Mus musculus: one gene and its partners. The protein of the gene in region 2 interacts with the protein of the main gene of each other region in a biochemical or structural test. Links are inferred from orthologs where the notes say so. Each region holds a gene or a part of one and is shown on either strand. Other genes may lie near its edges. The genes, in order: Ptpn6, Pdgfrb, Plcg1, Pten, Slc9a3r2 and Ptprj.

Evidence for each region.
Region 1: the proteins of Pdgfrb (region 2) and Ptpn6 form a complex in vitro, tested with the Homo sapiens proteins (2 studies listed by BioGRID and IntAct, with this or other methods). The link is inferred for Mus musculus from reciprocal best matches to the Homo sapiens genes PDGFRB and PTPN6.
Region 3: the proteins of Pdgfrb (region 2) and Plcg1 form a complex in vitro, tested with the Homo sapiens proteins (3 studies listed by BioGRID and IntAct, with this or other methods). The link is inferred for Mus musculus from reciprocal best matches to the Homo sapiens genes PDGFRB and PLCG1.
Region 4: the proteins of Pdgfrb (region 2) and Pten form a complex in vitro, tested with the Homo sapiens proteins (2 studies listed by BioGRID and IntAct, with this or other methods). The link is inferred for Mus musculus from reciprocal best matches to the Homo sapiens genes PDGFRB and PTEN.
Region 5: the proteins of Pdgfrb (region 2) and Slc9a3r2 form a complex in vitro, tested with the Homo sapiens proteins (2 studies listed by BioGRID and IntAct, with this or other methods). The link is inferred for Mus musculus from reciprocal best matches to the Homo sapiens genes PDGFRB and NHERF2.
Region 6: of the proteins of Pdgfrb (region 2) and Ptprj, one has a biochemical effect on the other in vitro, tested with the Homo sapiens proteins (2 studies listed by IntAct). The link is inferred for Mus musculus from reciprocal best matches to the Homo sapiens genes PDGFRB and PTPRJ.

Annotation. Positions count from the first base shown.
Region 1 is NC_000072.6:124,729,534-124,735,052, reverse strand, and holds the start of Ptpn6 (tyrosine-protein phosphatase non-receptor type 6), read left to right. Parts: upstream 1-1,898; 5' UTR 1,899-2,099; coding exon 2,100-2,107; intron 2,108-2,192; coding exon 2,193-2,315; intron 2,316-2,558; coding exon 2,559-2,753; intron 2,754-5,519. UniProt on the Homo sapiens protein: Tyrosine phosphatase enzyme that plays important roles in controlling immune signaling pathways and fundamental physiological processes such as hematopoiesis.
Region 2 is NC_000084.6:61,079,278-61,084,201, reverse strand, and holds part of Pdgfrb (platelet-derived growth factor receptor beta isoform 2 precursor), read right to left. Parts: intron 4,579-4,924; coding exon 4,467-4,578; intron 3,907-4,466; coding exon 3,807-3,906; intron 3,248-3,806; coding exon 3,142-3,247; intron 2,386-3,141; coding exon 2,153-2,385; intron 982-2,152; coding exon 819-981; 3' UTR 1-818. UniProt on the Homo sapiens protein: Tyrosine-protein kinase that acts as a cell-surface receptor for homodimeric PDGFB and PDGFD and for heterodimers formed by PDGFA and PDGFB, and plays an essential role in the regulation of embryonic development, cell proliferation, survival, differentiation, chemotaxis and migration.
Region 3 is NC_000068.7:160,751,221-160,756,144, forward strand, and holds part of Plcg1 (1-phosphatidylinositol 4,5-bisphosphate phosphodiesterase gamma-1), read left to right. Parts: coding exon 1-6; intron 7-215; coding exon 216-250; intron 251-412; coding exon 413-485; intron 486-563; coding exon 564-665; intron 666-867; coding exon 868-986; intron 987-1,074; coding exon 1,075-1,160; intron 1,161-1,233; coding exon 1,234-1,354; intron 1,355-1,964; coding exon 1,965-2,133; intron 2,134-2,221; coding exon 2,222-2,344; intron 2,345-2,422; coding exon 2,423-2,524; intron 2,525-2,603; coding exon 2,604-2,791; intron 2,792-3,064; coding exon 3,065-3,265; intron 3,266-3,342; coding exon 3,343-3,462; intron 3,463-3,540; coding exon 3,541-3,721; intron 3,722-4,520; coding exon 4,521-4,598; intron 4,599-4,924. UniProt on the Homo sapiens protein: Mediates the production of the second messenger molecules diacylglycerol (DAG) and inositol 1,4,5-trisphosphate (IP3). Plays an important role in the regulation of intracellular signaling cascades.
Region 4 is NC_000085.6:32,808,528-32,813,451, forward strand, and holds part of Pten (phosphatidylinositol 3,4,5-trisphosphate 3-phosphatase and dual-specificity protein phosphatase PTEN), read left to right. Parts: intron 1-3,168; coding exon 3,169-3,310; intron 3,311-4,924. UniProt on the Homo sapiens protein: Dual-specificity protein phosphatase, dephosphorylating tyrosine-, serine- and threonine-phosphorylated proteins.
Region 5 is NC_000083.6:24,646,700-24,652,089, reverse strand, and holds the start of Slc9a3r2 (Na(+)/H(+) exchange regulatory cofactor NHE-RF2), read left to right. Parts: upstream 1-1,784; 5' UTR 1,785-1,939; coding exon 1,940-2,152; intron 2,153-4,362; coding exon 4,363-4,563; intron 4,564-5,390.
Region 6 is NC_000068.7:90,434,375-90,438,401, reverse strand, and holds part of Ptprj (receptor-type tyrosine-protein phosphatase eta isoform 1 precursor), read left to right. Parts: intron 1-1,833; coding exon 1,834-1,992; 3' UTR 1,993-4,027. UniProt on the Homo sapiens protein: Tyrosine phosphatase which dephosphorylates or contributes to the dephosphorylation of CTNND1, FLT3, PDGFRB, MET, KDR, LYN, SRC, MAPK1, MAPK3, EGFR, TJP1, OCLN, PIK3R1 and PIK3R2. Plays a role in cell adhesion, migration, proliferation and differentiation.

The DNA of each region.
Region 1 (5,519 bases), on a different chromosome or scaffold from region 2:
CTCTTTATGAAGCCCAGGCTGGCTTCAGGTTTGTTCTCATCCCCTTACCTCTGTCTTCCATGTGCTGGAATTACAGATGTGTGACATGGCATCCAGCAAGACTGTTGGTGGTGAAGGCCAGGGTTTCCCACCCAAATGCTAAGCAAGCATTTTACACAGAGCCACACTCTAGCCATGTTTGGGTTTTATCGTCTCTTACTTCTCCTATACTTTGAGATATGACTATATACTGTGAATAAATATTAAGCATACAACTAACTATACACTCACTCATGAAACTACTGGGCTTGGAGCAGAGAGAGGGCCTTATGTTACCATCGAGCCGCATCATTCAGTTTTAAAGAAGTGTAAGGGAGCCAGATGTGGTGGCAACCTCCAGCTACTGGAGAGGTGGAGGCAGGGAGATTACAAATTCAAGGCTACAGAGTGAGTTCCAGATTAGCCTGGGCAATTTAGCTAGACCCTATCTCCAAAAAAGTAAAAAGAGAACTAACAGGGGGTGTGACTCTGTGGTTGAGCCTTTGCCTTGCGAGTTTGAGGTCCTAAGTTCAAACCCTAGGACTGCAGAAGTGTGAAGGGAATCAAATGAATAAGGAAAAGAAATAGGGTGGAAGATGTACACTGCCCAAGGATGCCTGCCCAAGGATGCTCCTCACACTGTTTAAGGGACTGAGAGTCTGGGTTGGTTTTGTTGTTCTTGTTGTTGAAACAGGTCTCACTATATAGCGCTAGATATCCTGGAACTCACTGTATAGACCAAGTTGGCCTCAAACTCACAGAGAGCTGCCTGCCTATGCCTCCCAAGTGTTGGGATTAAAGGCATGGGTTACCATGCCCAGCTAGGACTGGGGTTCTAATTTCAGTATTATAAAACAAACAAACAAACAAACAAACAAACAAACCAAAACTAACCAATCAAAACACCTCAGACAATAAACCCTTAAAAGATATAAGGTGCTCTGTCCCATCTCCCTTCTCCAGCAGCCTGTGTCCCTTGCTAAGGAAGATACCAATATAAATTGGGCAGCTTGTTTCCCCTCTGGTCTTGGCTTGGTAGTATTTGCATCTTTTTTTGTATTCATCCTGGGGTTTACATACACAAGGTCCCATAAGCCTGAAGGCTGAGCGCTCCTAAAGTTTAAAGCCCTCCCTGTGAGCGTCTGCCCTTGTTGGGACCCTGGCCATAAACCCTAACCTTTAGGAGATACCTTCCCACCCCACCCCTCCCTGCTGACAGTCAGGGTATAGGAAGGAGGCCTAGGCCCATGATGACAGAGCTGCACAAGGTTGCTTTGTGGGGGCTCTCAGCTGTGATGATAGCATCTCCTTTGGACAAGGAGTCTATTGACTACTGTTCTTTGGGTCCTGAGGGCTGGCAAGCAGAATTCAAAAGTCATTGGCTTTGAAACTATTTAGGTCTGAATCCTGCAACTCACTAAGGGTAAGACCTGGGGGCAATTCCTCAAACTTCTTGGCCTCAGTTTCCTTGTCTGTGAAGTGGGGATAAAGATAGTGCCTGAGGAATGAGGCCCTGGTGACCTGTAACTCACAGGAGGCATGAAAATGACATTGTAGCAATGAGTCTGGCAGGCTGCGACACTCCATTAAATGACGGTGCCACTGCACACGATCATTATTAGACTGTGCCTAAGAATAATTCTGAGTAGAGGCAGCTGCTGGAGGAGGAAGGGTTGACCTGATAATGTGGATATTCACTGTGCGTGACTCTTGACCTGCCACACGTGTGCCTTACCTCTTGAGTCATGAATATTTACTGCCTTGCCCCTGTGCCTTTGTTGGCAGACTGTGGGAAGTGGGCCCTCCCCCACCCTGCCACCCTCCAGCTCCTCTTCCCTCGCTCTGAAAAGAGAAGTTCTAGTGAGTTCCCCTAAGGGGTCGGCCGCGCCCCTTCCTGTCTCCGCCCTGCTGGCTGCCCCAGGCCAGTAGAGTGGTAGCCCGGGGAGCAGGACTGCAGGTTGGCTTTGGAGGCCTGGGCTCTGAGAGCCTTGCCTGAGGCTCATCTCTAGAGTTTGTACGTGCCTGCCCAGACAAACTGTTCCCTCCACATTTTCTGCAGCCAATTCAGTGAGAACCCCAGGATGGTGAGGTAAGGGCCTGGGACCCATGGAGGATAGGAAACAAGGGTGGCTGGAGCCCTGGGGATATTCCCTCACTGCCCTGTGCACTTTTAGGTGGTTTCACCGGGACCTCAGCGGGCCTGATGCAGAGACCCTGCTGAAGGGCCGGGGAGTCCCTGGGAGCTTCCTGGCTCGGCCCAGCCGCAAGAACCAGGGTGACTTCTCCCTCTCAGTCAGGTGGGTGGCCCTCCCTGCACCTTGGCAGCTCATTGTGTGGGTCCGGAGCATTCCTGGGTTCCCTGGGTTGTGTTGTCTCCTCATGATACATTTCTTCCCTTCTGTCCCTGCCTGTCGCCCTAGCATGTGCCCATAACTGTCTATGTCTACTCCATGCCTATGTGCTTTTGCATCGAGACCCCTGTCCCCCCAAGCCCACCCCGCTGCTGCTCATGTATCTCACTACCTGGTGGTGCCTCGCAGGGTGGATGATCAGGTGACTCATATTCGGATCCAGAACTCAGGGGACTTCTATGACCTGTACGGAGGGGAGAAGTTTGCGACGCTGACAGAGCTGGTCGAGTATTACACGCAGCAGCAGGGCATCCTGCAGGACCGAGATGGCACCATCATCCACCTTAAGTACCCACTGAACTGCTCGGACCCCACCAGTGAGAGGTGAGGGGCATTGCAGGTTGGCCCTGTCCCTTGAGATAAGTGGACATCCAGACCAGGTGTCCTTCTGTTCCCAGTCCGTTCTTCATCCCTGATCTTCCACACCTGTTCTCTCAGTGTTCTCAGCCTCTTCCCTCTGTAGGCTGATGATTCCCATGTATCTAACCAATCCCCTGTCCCCTGAGGAAGCCAGAGAAGGGTTCCCCTTGCCTTCCTGCAGGGTTCCTGCTGCCTAGCAACCTCATCCTGAGAGTAACAGAGAGGCCACTCCTTGTCTCTGGTGTTTCTCATCAGGTCGGCCCTATTACTAGAAAGCTTGTCCTACCATGGAACTCTGGTGCCTTCTTCCAGCCCTCTACACAGCCTGGGGCTCTAGGTCCCTGTCTTAATAAGGTCTTAGAGGTCCACTGGTACTGGGGTACTCAGGGACTTCTCTCAGCATCACACTGAGGTGGGGCTGGACAGAGCTTGGTGAAAGCAAGGTCGCTGAGGTGGTCACAGGTAGAGAAGGGCCCAGGCTTATCTGACTTAAGGAGACCCTCAGGATATCCCCAACTAGTGCTGCAAAGACACGGCCCCCATAGCTGGGCTGGCTGTTCTCTTGTGGTCTTCTCAGAGCATGTGCAAAGGGAAGGTTATGGAGATAAATGTCCCTCATTCATTACACTGGGGCTCGTCTTAGCTGTATAGCACAGGGACTGACTGGCAACCCCTATTAACTCAGGGTTTTCTTATGGACTCTGGGGCTCTGCGTACCTGTTCCTGTCCTGTGTCTGTGTATTTACAGTTGAAATGATTCCGAACTTGATCCCCACACCCTTCTCTGCTGGGGCCTGAACCCGGGGCCTTGTCTGAGTTGAGTGAGCGCTTTGCCACTAGCTACCTTCCACGCAGTTTTAAAGTCTGTTTTGAGATTCGTGCCTACAAACTTAGCTCAATAGTTTTGTTCACAAGTTACTGACTAAAACTGAGGACTGAAGGTCTAGGGACTGTGGCTCAGGTGGTGAGTGCTTGCCTGCCATGCATTAAACACTGGGTTCTATTCCCTGTCGTGCATAAACCTAGTGTGAGTGACACGTGCCTGTGAGCCCAGGTGGAGGCAGGAAGACCAGAAGAAGGTCAAGTTTATCCTCCATTCCATAGCAAGTTTGAGGCCGGATAGGGCTCCATGAGACCTTGACTTAAACTAAAACAAGCGGAGTGGAGGTGGTACCATAGGCCTTTTATCCCAGCACTCAAAAGAGGCAGGGGAAGGTGGATGTCTGGAAGTTCAAGGCCAGCCTGGTCTATCAAGTAAGTTCCAGTACAGCCAGGGCTCCACAGAGAAACCTTGTCTTGAAAAACCAAAACCCCCAAACAAAACAACAAAAAAACTCCAACCCAAACAAACAAACAAACAACCAACCAAAAAAAACCCTCAAAACACAAAGAAAACCACAAACAAACAAACAAAGAAGCTGGAGGACACTCCCTAGAAGGCTTTCCTCTTCTGCTGGTGAGTGGGAAGGGAGGGCCTGCCCCAGGTTGTCTCTCCTCTCCTATCCTACCTGCAGCCCTCAGGATGGTTTGGCCTCTCTCTCAGATTCGCTTTGAGCCCCTTGTTTTCTCTTTGTTGCTGACTCAAGCCAGGATGCGCCCTGCTAGAGTAGACCATGGAGGTACAGCTGAATGGTGGCTGCAGTGTTCCCTGTGATCAGGAAGGAGGTGGGAGCTAAACAGGTGTTAGGAGAACAGGCCAGGGCAGTGGGGAAGCACAGGACACCCTGTGGATGATACCCTCTGACAGGGCTGCGGAGGACTCCAAGGGACACTTTGGATGGCCATTTGGGAAGAAGCTGTCTCATCCCTAACCTTAGTGTGTGTGGAAGCCATGACCCAATGGCTCCTCTCTTTGCCCCTCCTCTTCTGGGAAATTTGCATTTGTCCCCTCAATAGTGAACTCTCTGCCTGTGGTCTGTTCACATTTGCATGGAGACTTCCTCATCCTGTCCCTGAGGGAAGGAGCTGAGCCCCCTCACATTGCTTGGGGTCTCTGGCCTGTTCCTGAGGTGGGCTAGGATGGCCCAGGAGGCCTGGGTTGGGGTAGGAACCTCTGAAGGCCTTGAGCTATGGTGTCCTCTGGACAGAGTTGAGAAGGACCAAGAGGACTGAGCCCCACTCCACCCCCCCCCCAATCCTTGCGGTTGGAAAATGCTCTCCCCCCCACCCCCCGAGCTGAAGAAACCTCACAACCTCACTTCTCACTCTCTCCCCAGAAGGAGTTTTGTGTTTTTTCCATCACGTGGTTTCCTGTGAGGCTAGGCATTGTGGGGCTACAGTTTCCTCCTGGGAAGAGGACCTTCACGGACCGGTCCTTAGTTCTGCTTTCTGCCCTGCAGCCCCTCGGAGCTCCTTGGAGCCCCTTTGAACCTCTGGAACCCTGAAACTACTCTCTCCTCAGTGGGATATTTGTGCCTCCCCCTCCCACAAATGCGTTTTCCATCAGTCCTTCTGGACTTGTGTCTCCTCTTGACACCCACTGCCTTCTGTGGTTTGGGTCAATCTACGTTTTTCTGTCCCTCCTTTTAACTCAGTCTGTTTCATGGGGACACTTCATTTTGTCCCTCCAAATATTCTGGATACCGTCTTTCTGTTTCTTGTGAACAGTCAAGAGAGGCTTTGGCTAGAGCCCTTCCTTTTTTCCTCCCCCCCCCACTCCCTCCCTCCCTCCCTCCCTCTATCCCTTCCTTTCTCTTTTGGAGACAGAAACTTCGCTTTTTTTTAAGACAG
Region 2 (4,924 bases):
AGAGAACAAGGAAAGCCCCCAAGGTCTCATAGCAGGTCCAGCGCAGAGCCAGGGCTCCTAGTGGTAGGTACACACTTCAGGCAGATGCTTAGCCTATCACAGGCGTGGACAATGGCCCTGCAGACTCTGGTGGGTGGGTCAGCTGAGAGTGACCTGGGGACTATTCTAGGACTGGTGGGGCTGAAAGGAGTGGGTGCTTCCTGTGGCCAGGTGTGCCCTGAGTGCCCAGGCAGGGCTGCAGGCCAGAGCATTCTGTACTCGGCCTACCTTCACCACTAACAGCATTCATTAAGCATGGCTGGCCCCAGACCAGCTCGGGCCTGGGAAAGCTAAGACCAGGGGAGGTGGGCTCTGAATGAAAAGACCTTGTCCAAGGCTGGTTACAGTTTGGCCAGGAGCCAGACACCAGGTCCTTGCCTGATTCTTAGGAAGATCAAAGTAGAGCAATCCAGCTGAGGGGCAGCTGCTACACAGGAGGATATGAACACACCACCGTACAGTCGTGGATTTCTGCAGGAATCCGGGCTCCAGACCTGTCCTGTAGCCAAGTACAACTCTTCCTCTTACATTTGGGGAAACTGAGTCCCCTGGAGGAACCCTGGTTCAGAGTCCCATGACCTTCCCGAGGCAGAGTTCTCTTGCCTCCTAAGCTAAGCTGGGTCCCTGGACCTTGAGTGCTGCAAACCAAGGGCTTTCCTCGAGGGGACAGCTTGTGGCAGTGTAGCTGCTGGGAGGCCAGGCCAGGCCAGGCCAGGCCAAGAGGGTTGGGTTCTGGGAGGCAGAAGGGAGATTCGGGCAAAATGGAGTGATGTCAGTTCCTACAGGAAGCTGTCCTCTGCTTCAGCCAGAGGTCCTGGGCAGCCTGAATCCTGTGGCTGCTCCAGTTGTGCCTCAGGCTCTGCTTGCTGTGGCTCTTCTTGGAGCTCCAGGGGACTGTCGCAGGAGATGGTGGAGGAAGTGTTGACTTCATTCAAGGTGGAACTAGAGGAAGGGAATAAGTCAGAAAGGAACCGGGGAAACCCCAAGAAGATAACAGCATTATCTAAGAGGTTTCCGTGTGTTGTCTTTACACACTGAGAGGCCTGTACCCCAAGGGGAGCACAGCTCAGAGAGGTTATGTCATGGCTCCACCACACACAGCGGGTGAGTACAGGGAGCTAGAACTTGAGAGCGGGAAGACCAGGCTCTCAAGTTTCTGTCTCATCCCCGCTTGTCAGGAATCCATCTTTGTGCTCAGGGAGATGACAGTATCTCAGTCCTCCCCTAGGGCTGTTTTCACCTTACAGAAAAGGAAACTGAGGTTTGTGGAGGCGGAGCATCTGGTCTGAGGTCACGAGACAAAGTGACCTCGCAGTGAACTCTTGAGTTGACCCTGCTCAGCCTAACACCACCCCTACCCACCTCCCAGCCCCACACCCACCCCATGCCCGCCTGACAATGCCTGTCTCATTAACGAGAGGCAAATGAGACCTTCAGGGCCTGCAAAGGCCTTTATGCACTGCTAGTTCCTACAGAGAAACTGAGGCCCTCAGAGACAAGGCCTATCCAAGTTTCATAGTGACGGGCTAGAAACAGAAGCCAGCCTGTGTCTCCTACCACTCATCCATGAGCTAGGTCTTGATTTTGGGGAGTTCCCTCTCTGGCTGAACATCAATCCAGGAAAGGCATAGGGCTCCCCAGAATGCATCCCTTAGTGGGCTCTACTATAACCCAAGGCAGACCATGTCTCCCTTCCCCTGTCTGAGTTCTAACCTGGATTTGCAGCTCTTCCATCTTCTACAAACAGGCTACCTGGATATGGTGTCAAGGGCAGCCATAACCCCAAGTAACAGTTGGGAAATGCTAAATGTTTCCTCTTTGTCCTCGGGACTAGCACAAGACCTAGAAAGGGTCCTGTAGTTGTGATGTCCTTAAAAGGAAGAGCTATCTTGCAAATGGGTTCTAGAATAACTTGTTTCTTTCCAGTCTGCCTTTCTTACCTGCAGCTCTAAGTGCTGAGTAAACTTCAGCCTTACTAGCCACTGGCAAGAGTTAGTCCTTACTCTAGCTAGCTGACAGTCCTTCTGTGGCAAGTCTGGTTACACACACACACACACATGAACACACGCACTATATGCATGAGTGCCTGGGGCCAAAGGGTCAGGGTGGCTACCTGGCAAGGCTGGGGGACCCCTCTGGGAGACCTTCATCAGCAACGTCAGGCTTGGGGTCAGGTAAGGGGATGATGTAGTCATTGTCACTCTCATTGGGCTGCACGGCAGTGTAGAGAACAGAGCTGGTGTCCAGAGGGGATCGGAGGCTGTGGATCCCCGGAAAGCGGGCTTGGGACCTCAGGATGGCAGGATGGTCACTCCTCAGGAACTCCTCATCTACCTGCTGGTACTTCTGCTCCGTAGGACAGGGAATGAAAAAGGAGTTTGATGGGCAATGTCTTAGAAACCCTATACCCTCGTTTATGCTCAGAGAATGAGGTCCTACACAAAGCTGCCCTGGTGAGCAGCCTTCCTACCTGGCATCCCAAGACAAGTTCAGAGTTCCCTAGGGAGGGCAGGTAGTCAAGCATAGTAGCCAGGCACGGTAGCCAGATTACCATGACCCTAACTCCCAACCCACTTCAGACTAAACAGATATGGGCTCCCATACTACTATGGTCTCCCACAACCTCCTGTTGTGGCTGCAGGTCAGTGTCCCTTGCAATGAAACAGTGATGGCTTCTCTTTGTCTCTATCTCCCTAGGACCACCCCAGATGGGAAGACAAGAAGCTGAGGTCCGGACAGACTCGTCCTGTCAGACTTGCGTGAACCTGGAACAAGGTTCAAGTAGTTGCTGTGCGGGTTCCAGAGAGTCTGGGGTTGCTCACACTTCCGAAGGAACCCCAGTGTTGTCAGGGTTCACAGGTTTGACAGACAGGATTATCTACTGCACCTCTCTTGGACAGATCAATCAGCTTCCACATTTTTTGATTCTTTTAGAATAAATAAGTAGTTCTGGCTCAACCCTTTCTAGCACCAGCAGAGAAACCCAGGCCCAGAGCCTGGGTGAGGATCATTTCCTCCCCAAATCCCAGCACATTACATCAAGCCAACTGCACAGGGTTTGGATGAGAACTCTGTCTTCCACCCTGCCTTGGCTCCACATACCTTTTTATAGCCTTCACCCAGAAGCCTCTCCAGGAGCAGCACCAGCTGGGAGAAGGGGGGTCGAGTCTCAAACTTTTCTTCCCAGCATTTCTGCATGATCTCATAGCTGAGGGAGGCAGAGAGAGAGTCAGAGTCCCCTCTGCAGAGGCAGGGCTGTGGAGTGCACAGCCTCAGAACAAGGTGCAGGGAGAGATGCTGGGGGAGGAGCTCCCGACGCCTTGTTTATCCTATCATTGCTTCTTACTGATCTCTTGGGAAGTCTTCCCAGCTTCCCCCATTCACATGATTCAGCAGAGTCTAAGGCATCATGGGGAAGAACACTGTAACCTGAATTTGGCCAATAGGGATTCTCATCCTCCCAACTCAGCACCAGTTCTGATGGTATGTGACCAAACTGAGCCCTTAAAAGCTCAGCGCTGGTCTTTTGCTGGAGCAATGCAAGCAGTAAGGTATTGTGGTGCTAATGGTAGCCACATGAGCAGGGCAGGCTTGAATTTGAAGCCAGCATAGAGAAAGTGGAGACCTGGTCTGGGACCGAACTTCCTGGTGGTGCCATTTTGAACACCTTGATCCAGTTCTAGCAATACTCATTTAACCTTTGAACTAGAGTTGCATGCCCCCCTGGAATCCTCAAATTCCTCCCAAATGCACTAGGTTCCACTCACATCTCGTCGGAGGCATGAGCAGGCTGGGCCATGCGGTAGCCCCTCTTGATGGCATTGTAGAACTGGTCGTTCATGGGCAGCTCTGGGTAAGGGGTGCCACCTGTCATGGAACAGAGACAGGGACATACTGTCTCAGGATGTGGGGAGTGGCAAGGTGTCCTCTCAGGCATGCTATACTGTCTTGGCATATATGAGAACACAATGCCCTTGGCATTGGAAAATAGACTCCACACAGAGATGGAAACAGAGAAGCAATAGATATCTAAGCAGGGTTTGTTTGTGTTTGTGTTTCTTCTCTTTGATTTTTAAAGATGGAGTCTAGGTAGCTCAGGCTGGCCTCAAACTTTCCATTTTCCTGCTTCCCATATCCTGAGATTACAGCTATACACCATTACAGCGGCTTCAAGCATGTTTTTGATATGTCTAATCCCTTTGATACTTGGATGGGAAAATAAAGACCCAGAGTTGGCAGAGGACTTGCCAAAGCCTTAGAATTAGAAGAGTGGCACTGTCTGGACTTGCCCCTAAGTCCTGGCTCATGTCTGAGCATCTGTCCCACAGTCCTCTACTTCCAGGCCGAGGAGCAATCAGGAGGGAGATAGAAGTGGAAGGGTAGATGCTCTGGTGCATAGCTTGGGGCTAGGGGAAGAAGTGGCTCACCCAGTGTGAAGATCTCCCAGAGTAGGATCCCAAAAGACCAGACATCACTCAAAGTGGTGTAGAGGCTGTTGAAGATGCTCTCTGGGGCCATCCACTTCAGAGGCAGGAAGGTCTGAAGAAGTGAAGACAGGCACTGAGCACATAGAGTCTCTAGCCAGTCCACCCCTGGGAAGGAGGAGGCTCAGCAGCTCCCACACCAATTCCTTCTCACTCCACTCTAAGGCTCTAAGCACACTCCTGGCCAGAGCATTGGGAAGCTGTTTCCTAACTCACTGTCTAGAGACCTGGTAGCCTGTAACCCTGGGGGAAGCCCCAAGAGTGTGCTATGCCTTGAAGTGGGTAGCCAGGGACATGCCCAAGGTCTCTGGGGTCTGTAGTTATTCTAACACTGGACTTCAAGACCTGTCTTACCATATCATTTGGGTTACTCCTCTGTTCACCTTACATCTCTGTCTATA
Region 3 (4,924 bases), on a different chromosome or scaffold from region 2:
AAGACGGTGCATGAACCTCCCACCCTCCCTGTCCTTGGCCCAACTCCTCTGCCTTCTCTCATAGCCCTGCTGCCCTGCTTTGGAGTGGTTTTGGTGCCATTACTCTAGCCACACACACCCCTCCCCCGGGGCATCTGCTCCCTAGCCTTTTCTTAAGAGCCCCTTTCCTGCATGGCCTCCCAGGGCTCCTCCTGACCAGATTCTGTTCTCTGCAGATGGACCTTCCCTTCTTGGAAACCAACGCTTTGAGGTTTGGTTTGGAACAGCCAATTGGGCTTTTTCTCTGGGTGGTTTCAGATCCAGGTGGGAAGCAGTGGGTAGATGGGGATGGGGCATAATAAACCACTGGGTATCTACACTAGACGGGGGCCCTTTGTCAGCCAGTGCCAGACACTAGGTTTTCTCCCTACAGGACTGGAGAGCGTCCGGAGCATTGCCAGGTGTCCCTTTCTGAGTTCCAGCAGTTCCTCCTTGAATACCAGGGGGTATGTCTGGGCCAGGGAGTTAGGCTGCAGGGTGGCTTCATCATTGGTGGCCTCCTCCATGACTTCTTTACCTGGCAGGAGCTGTGGGCTGTCGACCGGCTCCAGGTGCAGGAATTCATGCTCAGCTTCCTTCGAGACCCCTTGCGAGAGATTGAGGAGCCATACTTCTTCTTGGATGAGGTGAGCCTCACCTTTCCCACCATTCTGTTAGAGAAAGCAGGTGGGGTGGGTGACCAGAGCTGACCTGTGCTCTAAAAGCTGTGCATGCACTCTACTGCCTACTTTGCCAGTGGAGTCGAGACTCAGCACATTCTTGTACCTACTTCCATCCCAAGTGGCAGCCAGCACTCATTCACTTTCTCCTCCACATTTATCCTTGTAGCTTGTCACCTTCCTGTTCTCCAAAGAGAACAGCGTGTGGAACTCACAGCTGGATGCTGTGTGCCCGGACACCATGAACAACCCACTCTCTCACTATTGGATCTCCTCCTCACATAATACGTGAGTAAGCCTCTTTTTGCTCATCCAACCCTTCCTAAGGAGGGAGGAAGGCCCTCCAGACCATATGTACCTCTCCTTGCTTATCCAGGTACCTGACTGGGGACCAGTTCTCCAGTGAGTCCTCCCTGGAAGCCTATGCTCGCTGCCTGAGGATGGGCTGTCGCTGCATTGAGTGTACGTTGGGTCTAAGGTTTGGAGAGGGAAGGTGAGAGGCCTGCCTGTTTGACTGTGTGATATTGTTCTCTAGTGGACTGCTGGGATGGGCCAGATGGGATGCCAGTCATTTACCATGGGCACACTCTCACCACCAAGATCAAGTTCTCTGACGTCCTGCACACCATCAAGGAGCATGCTTTCGTAGCCTCAGAGTGAGTAGGCGTGCAGATCACGGGCAGCCTCCAGAAGGTCCTTTTACTCCTAGGATCCCCTGCTTGCATGGCTTGCTCCCATTCTTCCAGTCTCCTCTGCTCTTACTCCAGCCAGTTTCCTGAGTTCTTGCCTCTGCTCCCTGCTTCTCTGGGTAGCACTGAAGTGCATCTCATTCTCAAAAACATGCCTGTAGCTGTGGTCTCAGGTTATCTCCATCTCCTTCATTGCCCAGAAGAGAATGTTTCCTATGAGCCATCTCAGTTGCTAGCTGCCACCAGGCCCACAGTCCCCACTGCACTGAAAGGATCCACAAGCTGCACTGGGGGCTAATTCTCATCCTTCCTGACCTATTTTGTGTGGAATGTCTTTTGCTAGGCCAGCAACTCACGAGGCTCCCCCTCTGCAACACTTGCCTCTTCTTGGTTCCCACTGCCTCCTGATGTGCCCCCACCCCAACTCCAGGGCTCCCTCTCTTCAGAGGGGTCCTGTGGATAAGGTGCCCCAGGCCCTTGACTCCCATTATTTCACTCTGTAAGGAACTGTTTGGACTGAGATTTGAATCACAATAACCGTAGCAGCAGTGTTACTGTCCTGGCCCTTTGCCTTCAGGTACCCAGTCATCCTGTCCATCGAGGACCACTGCAGCATTGCCCAGCAGAGAAACATGGCTCAGCACTTCAGAAAGGTGCTTGGCGACACACTCCTTACCAAGCCTGTGGACATTGCTGCTGATGGCCTTCCTTCTCCCAACCAGCTCAGGAGGAAGATCCTTATTAAGGTGTGACATCGTTGCCAGGAGAAACCTTGAATTAGGAGATGGGCTAGGTGTGGAATGGTTTTTGCCATGACCTGGTCTGCTTCCACAGCACAAGAAGCTGGCTGAGGGCAGTGCCTATGAGGAGGTGCCTACCTCTGTGATGTACTCCGAGAATGACATCAGTAACTCCATCAAGAATGGTATCCTCTACTTGGAGGACCCCGTGAATCATGTGAGGTCTAGCTGAGCCTGGACATGGTGGGGCAGTGTGTTGAACTCTGGCTTACAGGTCCCCTTTGGTCTCCTCCAGGAGTGGTATCCCCACTACTTCGTTCTGACTAGCAGCAAGATCTACTACTCTGAGGAGACCAGCAGTGACCAGGGCAATGAGGATGAAGAGGAGCCGAAGGAGGTAGAATTGTTGAGGGGCATGGGGTCAGCTGAATGAGAACGTGACAGTCACTGGGTATCTTTGCTGTCATCCTGTCTAGGCCAGCAGCAGCACAGAGCTGCACTCGAGTGAGAAGTGGTTCCACGGGAAGCTCGGGGCTGGACGTGACGGGCGGCACATTGCTGAGCGCCTGCTCACTGAGTACTGCATAGAGACTGGGGCTCCTGATGGCTCCTTCCTAGTGCGAGAAAGTGAGACCTTCGTGGGTGACTACACGCTGTCTTTCTGGTAACCCACATCCAGCACTATACCCATGTTTAGTCTACTATACCTAGACATAATTGGTTAACATTTTAGCCTTGGGTCTAGGTTTTCCATAAAACACAATTCATTCTTACACAGGCATGTGTGAACTTAAACATGTATGTTTGATGTGTATGTCTTCCTCCAAGCTTCTTTGGAGAATGGCCTCCCTTTTTGAAATGTTATGCCTTGCCTAGTTATGTATTCTTTGGAGCTCTGACCTGCTTTTGACGCCTCTCCCATCCTGTCTTCCCTCAGGCGGAATGGGAAAGTCCAGCACTGCCGCATCCACTCCCGGCAGGATGCTGGGACTCCTAAGTTCTTCTTGACAGATAACCTTGTCTTTGACTCTCTCTATGACCTCATCACACATTATCAGCAAGTACCCCTGCGCTGCAATGAGTTTGAGATGCGCCTTTCAGAGCCTGTTCCACAGACGAATGCCCATGAGAGCAAAGAGTGAGGGCAGGGACAGGGAGGGGAGCAGGGGTAATGGTAGGACTGATTGGCCAGGGCCTAACTCTGTTGGTTTTCAGGTGGTACCACGCAAGCCTGACTAGAGCTCAGGCTGAACATATGCTGATGCGAGTGCCCCGGGATGGGGCCTTCCTGGTGCGGAAACGCAATGAGCCTAACTCATATGCCATCTCTTTCCGGTGAGGCATGCTGGACAGCTGTGGGTTCTTGTTGGGGTCCGGGCTGTCTTCCTTGCTGACTGTCCTGTCATTGTGAAGGGCTGAGGGAAAGATCAAGCACTGCCGAGTACAGCAGGAAGGCCAGACAGTGATGCTGGGGAACTCTGAGTTTGACAGCCTGGTTGACCTCATCAGCTACTATGAGAAGCACCCCCTGTACCGCAAAATGAAGCTACGCTACCCCATCAACGAGGAGGCACTGGAGAAGATCGGGACAGCTGTGAGAATGGCGGGGATGGGGGGCAGGGATCCCAGTATAGTTAGAGGACATTCACAATGTACCACTGTCTGAATGTGTTGAAAACTCATCTTGGGGTATTTTCAAGTTCACATGAGAGCGCTAGGAGTAACTGGGAACTATGGTGTGTAGCTGGAGGAAATGGCACCTGAGCCGTGCCTGGGTATTCAGACAAAGTCCCCATGAACTAAGCGGTAGGTGGCAAGGTCTAGGAGCTCACATGGACTGGGTCTGGAGTGTATGGGGCAGAGTAGGTACAATTGTATAGATGTGTTTGTTCTGTGGGAAGGCTCTGGAGGGAAGACCGTGGCTTGGTAGTGCAAGGGTCTTGGATCAGTGTTGTGGTTTTTAATAGAAGGCAGGCATCTCACACAGGATTGGTTGCGAGTTGTCAGTTGTGACACGATAACCTGGTCAGGGTCATGCTGTTCCCTGAAGTCAGGAGAGGTGTGCTGGGCTACTTCCTGACCGTGAGCTCAGCCACTGAACAAACATTAAGTATGTGGTGTTGCTGGCAGCTCGGCAGCAGGGAGCTCCGGCTGCAGGAGCCACAGTGGTGGATGTGGGGTAAGAGTGCAAAAGGAGTGTGGATCAAGTCCCTACAGGCACCCTCCCCTTGGAAGATGAGGAGGGGGATTCCTGTAGGCCAGGGGCCAATGAGCTGGGGCAAATGTCCTGTAGAAGAGGCCAGCTGTGCTTCAGAAACTGGGCAATGGGAGCTAGCAGCTGCATTTATCTCAGTTCTGGGATGGTGATAGATCACAATGTGTCCTGTTTCCAGGAACCCGATTATGGGGCACTATACGAGGGCCGCAACCCTGGTTTCTATGTGGAGGCAAACCCTATGCCAACTTTCAAGGTAAATATCTGTGCTTGGCACAGGAAGCCACAAGGAAGGAGGGGTTCCCTACTGCTTGGGGCTTATATTTCTGTATTCTGGGCCCTTTTGTGGTAGGTGTGGAGAAACAAGTGTTAGTTGTGGTTTTCTGAGGCTCAAGAGATTTTAAGATGTGTGGTTGGTAAATGACCATAAATCTCCAGGGATCAACCACTTTATAGCCAGTGTCTTGGGTTAGAACTGGCCCTTTGTCACCATTCCTTCAGAGTGATCCCCGTGTCTTCCATGGGTAGTAAGTAGAACAGGGGCCAGATGGCACACTGTCCAGGCATTCCCTTCGTTATGAA
Region 4 (4,924 bases), on a different chromosome or scaffold from region 2:
ACAAAGAAACTCTTATCTTGAAAACCAAAAAGAGAAAAAGTAATTAGCATCAAGTAGCCAAGGCTTATAAAAGAAGAATTAATGAAAAATACACTAGGAAAATGTAAAATTCCAAGGCAGGCTTTTCTTATCGGAATAGCATTATAATAAAAACCATAAAACTGATCAAAGATGTCATTTTACACTCACACAGGAGACACTTCATACGGACACTGAGCTGTTACGAACGTCTGTGCCAAAAGGAGTCAACTTTGTTAAGCAAATGCTAGAGAAGGAAAATAAAAAGCTAGACTCGGAGGAGGCGCAAAGTAAATATGTGCACACTGAAGACAGTGATAGAGTCGGCACCTGAGTGCTTTGCAGTGCCCACTTGCTTAGGTTAATAACTCACCAGATTAACTACAAATCCCACAAGCTTGGAAAGTAGAGCCCTGTTACCTGTCTTGACAGTTGAGTGGAACTATAGTTTGAAGTTTAATTCAGGTCATTATGGAAATTTAAAGCCATTTTCTTCAATAATTTTTGAGCCATTTGAAGAAAGATACATTGATTATTCACCAGTAGAAAATGAAACAAAAATATAAAGGAGTGAACTGAGGAAATGCTGAACTATTTGGGCTAGCAAATCGAACATTGACTACAAGAAAGAGAACTGGTGTTTTTTTTAATAGTGTTTAGGGTTAAATCTGGGTTTTTGTAACTGTCTCAAAGATGAATAATGTAGCACATGTTTGTGTTTAGCTAGGCAGTTAAGTCCTAGGGGTGTACGATGCTCTGGCCTCGCCTTGCTGCCTAGGCCTTAGTATGGTGCAAGCTTCCCTCTGTATCACCACTGCCTGTGAGCTCTGTGAGCTCTATTCACACAACTGCTGTTGATCTGAGAATTGTTTACTTACATATCAACCCAGCTTTTTTCAAAAGGATGAGCATATAAATGCTTGTGATAATAGGTGTCCTTCCCATCACTTGAGAATCTGTTTATTGCTGTACACAAGTGTGAAATGTGTACCAAAAGCTAGAGAGCAGGAGAAATGCCATCTGAACATTATCAGCTACTATATTTTTTTGTTTATTTTAACTTCTTTTATATAACTGAATTTGCTGGTTTATCCTCATGTAAATTCTATTAAGGAGGTTTGTATTATTGTATTAATTTTTTTAAAGAAGCAAATTGGAAGTTTATATTTTCTCAGAATTCAAATATAAGCTTTGACTATTTAGTATGTGATTTTTCACTCTAGCCAAAGTCTTAAATTGCCAATCATGATTTCAAGTGGTTTATATCCATTTTTGTTTGTTTGTTTTTGTTTTTGAGACGGGGTCTCTCTTTGTAGCCCTGTTGGCTTGGAATGCACAGAGATCCACCAGCTTCTTTCTTCCTCCTGAATTCTGGAATTAAAGTTGTATACTGCCACTTATCCATTTTGATACACATATGGAGCAGAGAAACAGAGAAAGACAGAGAGAGGGGAAGAGGGTGGGGTCAGAGTTCATATACCTGTATTTGCTAGACATCGTATTCCTTCTATACTTCTTAGCTTGTATGCTGTCTTCTTCCCCAGCAGAAGGGTGTCTGTGTCTAGAGTCCTTATCACAGTAGAAGTTGAGAGGCCATCAGTAAACTAAAGAGCATTGTAATACCTTTTTCTTATTAACATAAAATACCTATTTTCTGCAATTCTGTTTGTTGAGACTGGGCCTCACATAGGTCAAGCTGGCCTTAAACTTACGATTTTGGTTGTACCCAAGTACCGAGATTACAAGAGGGTACTGCCATGCCAAAACTGCTGTTTACTTTAAACTGTTAGATTAAATGCTTATTATTTGCCTTATATTGACTTTTTTACTGTTATATTGTGAATAGAAAAATATTAACTCATTAGTGAATGAATTGTTACACATATGGTATGTATGTCTTTGTGTGTGTGTGTCTATATGTATATATGTATGTGTCTGTATGTTCCTTGGATGTCCATCCTCTGGTGCCATCTATCTTGTTCAGACAGGGTCTCTAATTGGTCTGGAATTCACCAAGTAGGCTAGGCCAGCCTGTGAATCCCAAGAATCTGCCTGTCTCTGCTCCCCCATGCCGAAGTTTTAGGCATATATATGGTTACGTGGTACCTTAAAAAATGTATATAGGCATGGGCTAGGTTGGCTGAAGTGATAGCTGGTTTAAAGCACTGTTGTTCTTGCAGAGGACCCAGGTTAACTCCCAGTACCCACACAATGGCTTACAAACATCTGTAACTCCAGTTTCATGGCATGCCTTCTGGTTTCTGTGGGCACCAGGTATACATATGGCAAAACACTCACAAAATATTTCAAGAACTAAGAAAAAAACATATGCATGGGTTTTGGGTCATACATGCGATTGATTGATTGATTGACTGGTTTCCGGCTGGCCTGGAACTATATAAACCCTGGGCTGGTTCGGAACAGTCCTCTGCTTCATCCCCTTTAGTGGTAGGATTACAGGTGTGGGACACCATTCCTGGTTAGGGTCCCCTTTTAAATGTCATATGAATTATGTCTTTTAAATATTTGTAATATTTTCTAAGCCATTTTATGCTTCCCTAATGTCTGCAAGGAGTGGATATAGCACAAGGATACCGATACCCCTTACTGCCTCTGTTAACAAGTTGTATTGAATATGTTTATCATTCAGCTGCATACTCTCTCTTTTCCTTTTTTTTTTGGACTCTAAGGTCAGAATCTCATTTTTCCTGCACAGAGGCAACACGTTTCTCTAGTGTACTGATTCTGATATGATTTTGCTTAGAAAGTATGTAAACAGGTTTGTGAAGACTTGCCTAGTAAACCCATCTTTGAGAGGAGACTTGGGTATGTGTAGCTGCAGTACAGAGACCATTGACTGTCTGTTTGAATACACAGTGGCCTTTGCTTATTGGGTTCATAGATCAGAGCATTATTTAATATTTGAATAAATGAGGTATTTAATAACTACATTTTAAGAATATTCTTTTGTTATTGCTCTTATTTATTCTAATACTGAGTTAGATTTGATTGTTAGCCACTTAAAGGAGAAACTTTGGGATAACCCAGTTATAGCAATTTTGTATAATAACTTTAATGAAACTTTCCTTTTGAATTTGACTTCTCTTTTTCTTTTGTCTCCCTCCTCCCTCTGCCCCCTGGGCCTATCAGGGAGTCACAATTCCCAGTCAGAGGCGCTATGTATATTATTATAGCTACCTGCTAAAAAATCACCTGGATTACAGACCCGTGGCACTGCTGTTTCACAAGATGATGTTTGAAACTATTCCAATGTTCAGTGGCGGAACTTGCAGTAAGTGCTCTAAATTCTTAGCTGTCTGTGTGTCGGAAAACTTTTTAAAACCATATCTAAATGTATATGTAAATGTTTAGAAATACATTTACCAGGTTAAAAGGAGTATATTTCTGAAGTTGGAATTAATTAGTTCAGTTGTTCAACTCACTGGGTTAAGAAAGCTAACCCAATGAATTTTGGTGTTCTTTTTTTGTTTGTTTGTTTTTATGTTTTTCGAGACAGGGTTTCTCTGTATCGCCCTGGCTGTCCTGGAACTCACTTTGTAGACCAGGCTGTCCCTGAACTCAGAAATCTGCCTGCCTCTGCCTCCCAAGTGCTGGGATTAAAGGTGTGAGCCACCACACCTGGCAATTTTGGTGTTCTTCAAGTCAATTATATTTATGGGAGAAATATTCTATGTTATAACCACCAGATGCAGTCTCTGTTCTGACAAAATAACCGAGAGACTCTTGACAGATCAGTGTGAGAATCTGAGAGACACTCTTGACAGATCAGTGTGAGAATGGCCTCTGGCTACAACCAGGTCCTCATCAGAGGGAAACATGTTCACTGTCAGAGACAGAAAGAGAGGAGCCCTTCAAATATAGAGAATAAAAGGGTGTGTGAATTGGGATGTGTGGAGAAAACCTAAGTGTAGCTTTGAAGTCAAGCTCTCAGCCTGTGGCTTGGACTTGTCATCTCCTCACTGAGTTTGCTTGTTAGTAAAATAAAGAAATCTTGGTAAGTATGACGTCATGACATCAGTGTGTGCTTGTAGTAATTTCTCTTACCTTAGTGACACCTGGGAGTGGTCAGTCATGTTTTACACTTAAGATATTTTATTTGTATTTTCAATATAACGTCATAGTATCAGATGTCACTTATTAGAATCCCTTGATATTATTTTATGGATGTTTGCAGTTTGTCAGTGATTTTAGTTTTTCGCCTCCATGAAATACTTCATTAAATTAACTTGTTCTTTCTAAAATAATTTTTATGTAGAGAATCAGTTTCTTCGTCAGATAGGTGTGATTGCCCATGAGTATGGCAACTTTGTTAAGGGCCCCTAATTTATTTATATAGCTTGTTGGAAAGTTCTAAGGAACTTCCATACTGATTAAGTATATTAGTATAATTTTAAAAGTGTGAGTACAAGGCACAATGGACTATTGAAAGCAATTGACCTAGGAACTTCACTAGGTTCATTGAGAAGGAAAGGGGATAGGAACTCATGTTCTTCCTATAGTTTAGGCATCAATATAGAGCTGTAAAGGCGGTATGGAGGCAATACGGAAAAGCTCTGCTCAGGAATCTCACTAGGTACTGACTTTTTGTCAGCTCTACTTTGCTTATTGATTAAACTGCTGTTGGGCTTTTAGTCGGACAACATTATGTTTGCATCTCTACGCTTAAAAAATATTGACTACTAAATTCTTTTTAATCTTTAAAAATTTCTAGTTACTTATTTATGTGCTGGGATTTAACACTATATGTTGAAGTTATATTAAAATAAAGCTCATGAGATTCATATGTATAAATTATAACTGCCATGTTCACAAAAGGTTTTGGAAACAATTTCATGAAGAAAGTCGGTCACTGGAGAACACATGCAGTTTGGATTGGCATTGAGTG
Region 5 (5,390 bases), on a different chromosome or scaffold from region 2:
GCTTTAGGAACTCCTTTGCTATTACTCTGTGACTGCAGAGCTGTATCATCCTTGGCTCCTGGCCCCTCTGAGACTACATGTTCCTGCCCTTATTCCTCCCTCCCCCAAGCCCCCATCCTATTTTTAGTCATGGGCTGAGTCTTTGGTGACAGAGAGCCAGTGAAGGGCCCGAGGTTGGGGTGGGAAAAGGTCCCCTACCTTCCTCAATTCCTGGCTTAGAGATCTCCCATCTTGCCAACCTCTTTAGTGTGACCACAAAGATGCTGTTAGCAGGTCTGGCAGGTTCCTGGTTATTCTGGGGATAACTTCCAAGTTTCACACGGATGGGATATACATAGTTTATACACATTAACCATCTCCATGGGCAACCAGCATTACGCCAGGCTCAGTGAAACCAATCCTAAGCTAGAAAGACAAACTCTTTGGATAAGCAGGCAGACAGATAGATGGAAGTGGTCAGTCAGGCCTGTGGCAGCATCAGCTAGAATCTGAAGAGAGGGCTGGAGGCAGGGAGCAACAAAGTATCCTCAGCCTAAGTGCCTTTTAGGAGCAGCAGCTAGGGTGTGGGTACCCAAGGGGCTGCTGCTGAGAGGTGGGTCCTAGTGCTTGGGTGGGGGTTGAAAGCCTCAGCTAAGGGTTCTGGAGAGAGGGGAGGGAGAGGAGAACACTGAGCTAGGACTGCTTCTCCTATCCACATGGGGAACTGTCTGAGCTGGCTGTACCTGACGCCGGGGGACCAGGTAAGTGAGGAGCTGTGGGCTGGGGAGAAGCAGGCTGTGGGTAAGCCTGGATCTCAGCTGTCTTATGTGTTGGGAGGATGCTTCAAGGTGAAAGTGCAGTCTCACAGTACTGGACTCTAGCAGAGGGTTTTCTCTAGGCCTCAGTTTCCTGATCTGTAAAATGGTCAGTTTTCTCTAGGGCTGTTTTTTGGAAAACCATATAGGAATGCATAAGGGGTTTTCAGTGGGACTATTTTCCTGTAAGAGTAGATGAGAATTTCATCAATTGTAAATCTAAGTGCATTGGGACTATAGACTTAGGAACCGGCGTTGGGAGCCCTGTGGGGCTTAATTTGGGACAGCTGATCACCACCTAGAGCTCAGGGACCAAAGTCCTCAGTACGGTTCATACTAGGTCAAGAGGAAGACAGCACACACCTCCCATTTCTGCCAGATAAACTCATGTTCCCAAAAAGCAGGGAATACAGGAGACAGGATGTTTAATGGACAAACACTTCCTGGGAAGAACAAGGGGACACCTATTTGCTGTCCTTGGTTGCCTAAAGACAAAGACCTTGGTTGCCGTGGTGTCTCTTTAAATTCTTATTCTTGCCTGTTGCTCTTTGGGTCGGGACAAGACAACTTCGGGGATCTAGAGGGAGCAGGCAGAACACTCCTGGTAGGTAGAGGGTGGGGTGCATCCCGAGGAAAGGGCGCAGTGGCCCTTGCACTTCCCCTCTGGCCTCTGTGTAGAGTGTCTCTGACAAGAGGCTTCCCATTTCTGGAACCTCTCTCACTGTACCATATGCAGGTGTCCAAAAAAGTGGTTCCTGGACAGAAGTCAAAGGTGCTGGCGCTACGGAGGGTGGCCAAAATGGGTTAAGATAGGACTCCCAGGGACTCGAGGGTTGCCTGACCAAGCAATCCCACTCCTTGGTCCTAGGGTTTCTGGGCGCCCAGGCAGGGGCCTAGCTAGCGGGGCTTGGGTTAGGGCGGGGGCAGCCAGGAGGGCGGGGAAGGGGCGGGCGCGGGGGCGGCGCTGCAGCAGGAGCAGGGGCCAGGGCCAGAGCCGAAGCCGGAGCCCGAGGCGACGCGAGCTGAGCAGGAGCCACCGAGGCCGCTGCCTGCTCTCCCGCCCGCGCCTCCGCCGCCTCCGCACTCCAGCCTGCGGGTGGTGTGAGCCGTGGCCAGTCGCGGCCGGCCAGGGGGCAGCGGGTGCCATGGCCGCGCTGGAATCGCTGCGGCCCCGCTTGTGTCGCCTGGTGCGCGGAGAGCAAGGGTACGGCTTTCACCTGCATGGCGAGAAAGGCCGCCGTGGCCAGTTCATCCGGCGCGTGGAGCCAGGCTCCCCAGCCGAGGCGGCCGCGCTGCGCGCCGGGGACCGCCTGGTTGAGGTCAACGGCGTCAACGTAGAGGGCGAGACGCATCACCAGGTGGGTCCCTGCGCTGCGCCCCGCCCCCCGGTTCCCTCCTAGGGGCGCGTCCCTACAGCGCTGGCCAAGATGCCTACGACCACCCTTCTGCGTGCCGTATGGTGGGACCCTGCAGGGGTCCCATGGGGGCCTGCTGTTTGGGTGTCGAGGTGTGGGACGTGGCCCGCCAGCTGGCCTCCTGGTGAGGAAGCTCAGTCCTGCACAAGCGGGGGAGGGAGGACATCCTGGTAGGGAGGGGCCGCACTGCGGCTACTCTGGCCAGGGCCCTGGCTGCTTCTGCTAGTTTTGGCCTCCGTGTGCCATGGAGGGGGAGGAGGTGGCTAAGGCACCTTGTGGCCTTGTGGTATAGATGCTTTTCTGTCAGTGTGTGAGTTATGTGTGTGTGCTCTCAGGTCTCTCTGGGGTCATCCATATGAATACACTACCCAAGTGTTCCAGGAGTGGATGAAAACATACTTGTGTCAGGGCTGGAATGTGTGTCTAGGGTTGTGTGGACACATCAGGCATGTGTGCTGGTCTCTCTCTCTCTCTCTCTCTCTCTCTCTCTCTCTCTCTCTCTCTCTCTCTCTCTCTGTGTGTGTGTGCATGTGAGTGTGCGTGTGCGTGCACGCGCTTGCGCCTGCTTACCTGGTTACACTAGTGTACTTTTCATGGGCTTGTGTGTCTGGATCTGGTGGAGTTGGCTCTAGTAGCAGCGATTCCTTGGGCTCAGAAAAAGCCTTTTTCTGGGCGGCTGCCTGGCCCTGTAGAGGTCACTGTATAGCCCTTGCCTGCTGCAGCAGGAGGAAGGAGGAGAGATGATCCACTGGTCTCTCTGCAGGTTCTACCTCTGGAGTGTCTGTATCCCGCTGAGGGGTAGATACAGTTAAGACCATGGTTACACTTCAGCCTCCCTCCACCTTTTCTGTTCTGGAACCCTAGTACCACTAAGTCCATGACCTATGGGAGTGGTTAGTCCTGAGGCCTGGAGAAAGCAGTGGTTCCTTGCTGGACTGAGTTGAACTTCTATCTCCCCAGCGACCAGTAGGTAGACTACAGTGACCCCTGGATTTGGTTGTGTGCTGAAGAGTTTGGGAGTGAAGCCCAGTGGTTGGCTTAAAAAGCAAGGGAGAGACTGGCAGAGTTGATGTCATATGCCTCTTGCAGTCGCTGAAATGTACCTGTTTATCCCAGGTCTCTAAAGACCTTCACCTAGAGCCACATTAAACTCCTACTGCTCAGAGAGATAGGAGCCAAAACCACGACCCCCATTCTGCTGGTAGCGACTGTGGTGACTGGCTTGGCTCCCATGGCAGAAGCATCAGAGAGCTGGCATCCCTCTGCTCTGTTGGTTATGGGGAGAGAGGATGAGCACTGAGGGGCCAGGTAGAGATGGGCCCAGGTAGGGCCTTCTTATCTGTGGTGGCATGTGCTAGAGAAGCCATCTCTTCACTCCCAGGCTGTAGGAGTGGATCTTGCACGGTCCACGGTGTCCCACACCTCACAGACACCCAGGCAGATAGACACACAGATGGCTGTAAAGCCACATCTGCTCTGCTGCTGTACCTGATGGATGTGAGCACCTTAGAATTGTCTTCACCTCTTTGCAGGTCCAGCAGGGATGGGTTTCTAGTCCTGATCTGGAGGCAAATTGAGGTTCTAGAACTTGTTGGGCATTAGATTCACACTGCATCTCCAAGAAAGAAATAAGCCCAAATACTCACACTGGGGCCAACAAAGACATTGCTCTCTCCTACCCCTGGACCAAAGAACAGACTTTAAAATACACACACACACACACACACACACACACACACACACACACACACACACACACACACAGAGAGAGAGAGAGAGAGAGAGAGAGATAAGCCTGCACACATGCATAGACCAGATTGAAATCCTGAAGCTCAACTGAACAGATTTGGACTCTCCCATCTGGCTGTTCCAAGCAGTCTTCCTGTGCTCACCTGAGCTGGGTGCAAGGCCACAAGAGAATCCTGAAGTACTTGCAGCCTGGGCCCTAGCTACAGGGAGAAGAGGGAGGGAACTGCTAGAAACTGGGGGTGGGGGGTGGAGCCTGCAGGCCTCTCAGGCCAGCTACCCACCCCTGGCAGGCCAACCCCTGCCCCTCTGTCCATGAGTCTTGGCCTAGCCGGGAGTGATGCCCTACCCATGTGCTGCCTGGGGTGTTGGCTGCTGACCGGGTCCCTGCTTCGCACCCGTTCCAGGTGGTACAGAGGATCAAGGCTGTGGAGGGGCAGACCCAGCTGCTTGTGGTGGACAAGGAGACCGATGAGGAGCTCTGCCGGCGGCAACTGACCTGCACTGAGGAGATGGCCCATCGAGGGCTTCCCCCAGCCCACAACCCCTGGGAGCCAAAGCCGGACTGGGCATGCTCGGGCAGCCTTGGCTCGGACACTGGCCAGAAGGTATGGTAGGCTGTGTCTGTGGGAACAATGAGCCTTTCCCAGAACTACAATCCCTGCCCCTTGATAACAATCTTCCTTTTGGTCACTTCTATAAGCCTCCATTTCCTCTTAGGGCTCTTTACCTACTGCAGTAACCGCTCTCTATGCTGCTGGTGAGCACTGCAGCAACTTGTCTGCCTTTGTCCCCTTTGCTGGAGGTTCCAGGGACTAAGGAGCTCTGAGAGGAGCTGCTGGGACTTTAAAGGATGCATGTCCGTGTTGGGTGTCTGTCGTCCTGGGTTTTGTCCATGTCTCTGTCTGAAGCGTCCAGCCTAAGCCATCTATGTGCTCTGAAGCCCTTGGGTGGGTTAGATCCTGCCGCTGCTGTAGCCGAGCAGCGATGGGGGTGGGTGGAGTGGGTGGGTTCCAGAACACAGGGGCTTCCTAGGGAAAGGAGGTCAAGGCAAGGACACACATGCAGGCGCTTCTTATGAGGACCCACTTACAGCTCAGCTGGGTTCCAGTTCCTGTCCTCACTCCCACTTCCCACCTGTGCAGAAACCCTTTGTGCTACTGTCCCATGGCCCCGGCTGGAGAGCCCCTCCCCGGAGCCCCTCCCTCGTCTTTATCCTTCCAGGCTAGGAGACCCCAATAAAACAAGGGGGAATCTGTTCCACCTTTTTTTTAGGTAGCTACTTATTCTACTTCTTGGAGGATCTAGTATTGTTGTTTCTTTTTCTTTCTTTTCATTTCTTTTTGTTTTTTGAGACAGTGTTTCTCTGTGTAGCCCTGGCTGTCCTGGAACTCACTTTGTAGACCAGGCTGGCCTCGAACTCAGAAATCCACCT
Region 6 (4,027 bases), on a different chromosome or scaffold from region 2:
AGAGAATGAGAGAGAGAAAGAGAGAGAGAGAGAGAGAGAGAGAGAGAGAGAGAGAGAGAGATTTTGATTGCTTTCTCACTTTTTGCAGTGATGCTGGTTATCACAGTCAAACACAGCTTGAAACTATGGCTAGTCTATTTAGCTGGCTTGATCTGAGGTCACGCCCTCTTCTGAGGCCACACCCACTCAGCATTTTCTTGGTTTGTTGATCGGCTGTTTAGTCCTGCTGCTCTGTGGCAAATACTTTAACCACTGATCTGCCTCTCCAGCCTCCTGATCACTTTTTCGTATTTCAAAAATAATATATTAAAAATTAACACTATAGAACTGCCCAGAATATATTCTTCCCCCTAACCCTACTTCCTAGACGCTAGGACCTAAAGGAAGGCCTTAGTTACTTTTAGCTTGTGTAGTACTTTGGATCCCACACCTCCCAGGCTGATGTGTTTGAATATTTGGTCACCAGACAGGGACGTTGCTTTGAAAGGTCATGGAATCTTCAGGGAGCAGAGCCTTGCTGGAGGAAGTCGATCACTACCTGGTGGGCCTTAAGGTTTCATACCTGGTTCCACTTCCTGTCTGCCCTCTGCTCTCTGCTTCCTCTATGACCAGCTGCCCAAGGCCCTGCCACCATCCCTTTTCAGCCATGGTGGGCTGTATCTCCTCTGCTGTGAGTCAAAAGAAGTTCCTTCTTGTCAGGCTTGGTTACAGCAGCCAGAGATGGAACTGGCACAGCAGGTGGCGCTATAGAACGTTTTGAATATGCACATGCGTACATCTGTGGTCTCCTTTGAAAAGACTGGATGCTCTTATGAGGTTTGCTTTTACGGCACCTAGCCTTTTTTTTTTTTTTTTTTTTTCCTGCCACAGCATATACTTCCTCTATTTAAACAGCGACCTGTAGATTCTGATAGATACACTTGTATTAGTGTTACTTTTTTGTTGTTGTTGTTTTGTTTTTTGTTTTTTTGAGACAGGGTTTCTCTGTATAGTCCTGGCTGTCCTGGAACTCATTTTGTAGATCAGGCTGGCCTCGAACTCAGAAATCTGCTTGCCTCTGCCTCCCGAGTGCTGGGATTAAAGGCGTGCGCCACCACCACCCGACATTAGTTATTTTTTTGAAAACAATAATTGTGTGTAAGTTTATTTTGCCTCATGGTTTGGGGTACAGTTTTTCATGGTAAGCCACTGTGATATAACTGTGGCAGCAGTAGGATGACCCTGGCCACATTCTGCCTGCAGTAAGGCAGGAGAGAGATGACTGTTGGTACGCAACCCCCTTCATTTCTCACTTGCTGCAGACCTCCGCCCCACATTCAGGATGTGTCGTCTGTCCCTCATCAGGTGACCCTCTCCTCTAATGACCTCCTAGTCACACGGAGGAGTGTCTTCTAGGTGATTCTCAATTTCATCCAGCTGACAGTTAAGATTAGTCTTCACGCTACCCCGAGGAGGGGGCTGCACTCAGGTCCAGCTGATGCCCTTTAACCCTTCTCCTCTTTAGAGAGTCCTTCCGGTTTACTCTCACTCCACGCGGATTCCTTAACTTTCACTGTCCTGCGGTATTTATGCTTGATTTCCTCTGCATCTTCATTTCACCCTCCATAAGGTTCTGATGTTTCCTTGATATGAAGACGTGAGGGTGCCCGCTCTGGTTAAGTGTCACTGGTAAAGAAGGCTGTGTTATGTGCTTTTTGAATGTCATTAGGTTGTTTATAGATCACGGATGTGTTGGACAGATGGGATCATGGTGAGTTTTCCTTTAAGAATCGTCTCGTGTTCTCATTCCTGGGGCTGGTGCTTATTCTTCTCTCTCATTTCCTTTCCCACCAGGACCAGTATGTTTTCCTCAATCAGTGTGTTTTGGATATTATCAGAGCCCAGAAAGACTCAAAAGTTGATCTCATCTATCAGAACACAACGGCAATGACAATCTATGAAAACCTCGAGCCAGTGAGCATGTTTGGAAAGACTAATGGTTACATCGCCTAGTTCCAAAGCAAACCCTTTCTGAAGCTAACCGGACCGTCACACCCACAGTGAAGGAGAGCGCCCTGACGGGACATGTTTTATATGTCTCCTTTCTCAGTTCTTTGTTCTGTTCTGTTAGAACTACTTGGAGGGCATGGGGCTGTGCGTGCAAAAGCATGGCAGATAGCCAGTGGGGTGTCAGGGGCTGTGGACGGGTGGTGTGGAAATCAGCTGCCTTCCTGATCACTAATGGGATGGGTTCACTTTTTGTTTTTTTCCTTGAGAATTGTGGAAAACCAGGAAAAGTGAGCTATGTTTTGTTTTCCAAACTGGTTTGTTCTCCTCTTTTCTCCCCTTGTCTCCCCCCTCTCTCTCCCCCCTACCTCTCTGTTTTTTTTTTTTTTCAAGACTTTTATATGATTCACATGCTAAAGCCAGGATTATGTTGGGTTGAATATATTTTAAGTATCAGAGGTCTATTTTTACCTACTGTATCTTGGAATCTAGCCGATGGAAATGCGTGACTGTGGGTGTTTCTCACGCAGGGAGGGGCACATGGCGCCTCTTCTGCGTGGGTTTCTATTTGAACATGTGCCTTTTCTGAATTATGCTTCCATGGGCAAAACTCAGTAGATGTCTCTATTTTTATATTGAATCTCAGAATTGGAATATACAGACTATTTAAGCAGTAGCTTAGCATCAGAGAGTCGCCTCCTCAGTAACATTCCGGCTCCCATTCGATTAGAGGAGGCTCTCTCTGCGGCCCACCCTTGACACACGTTTGTGCCCCACAGTCCCCTTCCCTTTCTTTCTTTTCCCCTCCCAGTTTTCGCCAAAGACTTGTGTTGGTGAGATTTTCATCCCATTGGTTGGGTGAGAATAGAAATGTAAACCATCATCATGAGACTCTCTGTGGGTGGGGGTGGGGAGGAAGAGAGGAATCAACATACCATGGTGTGCACCCCTTCTCATCCCGTCTCCTCCTTTCTCTCCTTTCTGTCTTTGGTAAGAAGGATTATTTAAAGGTGCAATATGTGACGTAGTGGTTCACGATGCTCTGGGTTCTTAGTAATGTTTTACTCAGGTTGTCATTTTATGTATGTGTGTGTGTCTGTGTGTCTGTGTGTGTCTCTGTGTGTTTTATAGCGTGGTGATCTGTGAACATTTCAGTGTGAACTCAGAATAACCCCTTTTCCCCTCGAAGTCCACTGGCTTTAGTCTATCTGCAGTGACACACATCAGTATCTACTGTATATATAAATACTAAACTCTTACACCAGTCATTCCTATGAATTGAGGTGTACAAAGTTTGATTTGTATCAAAGATGTAATTATTATTTTTAAAACCTCTTTTCACTACACTGCTGCTGTAATTACTTTGAATTTTTAAAGAAAAAAAATGTAGTTTTTTTTTTTTTTTTGGCTTCAGGTGTGTATTCACCAAGAATTTCAGAATTTATGTGGTTTTATTTTATTGGTACATAATCTGTAAACTTCTCAAGGCATTAACATGACAAGATTTGTGTCTTTTATTTTATCTTGTGGCTCAGGTTATATTTGAAGAAGTTTCAAGTTTATCTTCTAGTAGGCAATGAAGTCTATATAAGGTCTTATGAAGGAATCGCCAGGTCCCTGGACTCCTGTGGCTGTTTTCCACAGTAACAACACATCCTGCTGTATGTTTGGGACAATGGTATCCTGTTGAAGATGAGGGTGGGTCTTCTCCAAGGACCTGGCCACTGTGGGCCCCGGAACTGCCTTCTGATGTTCTGCCTTCTCTGTTCCTCGTGTCACCAGCACTTTGATGGCTGACTGGACCTGATCATGAGTATTTGTAGGGTTAGAGAGGGTGACCCATAATTGAAAGTCCCCTGCTGTGTTTCAGCGCTGTAGTGCTGTGGTGTGTACCCCCCCCCCCCTTTTCCTTTGCGGTACTGAAAGGATTGAAAGAAGAGGGTCATGGCATTGTCATGCTTTGGGGGAGAATTTTACTTCTCACATGGAAACTGCACTTTTTTTTTTCTAAATCCTTTGCATTTTGATGTTCATTTAGTGT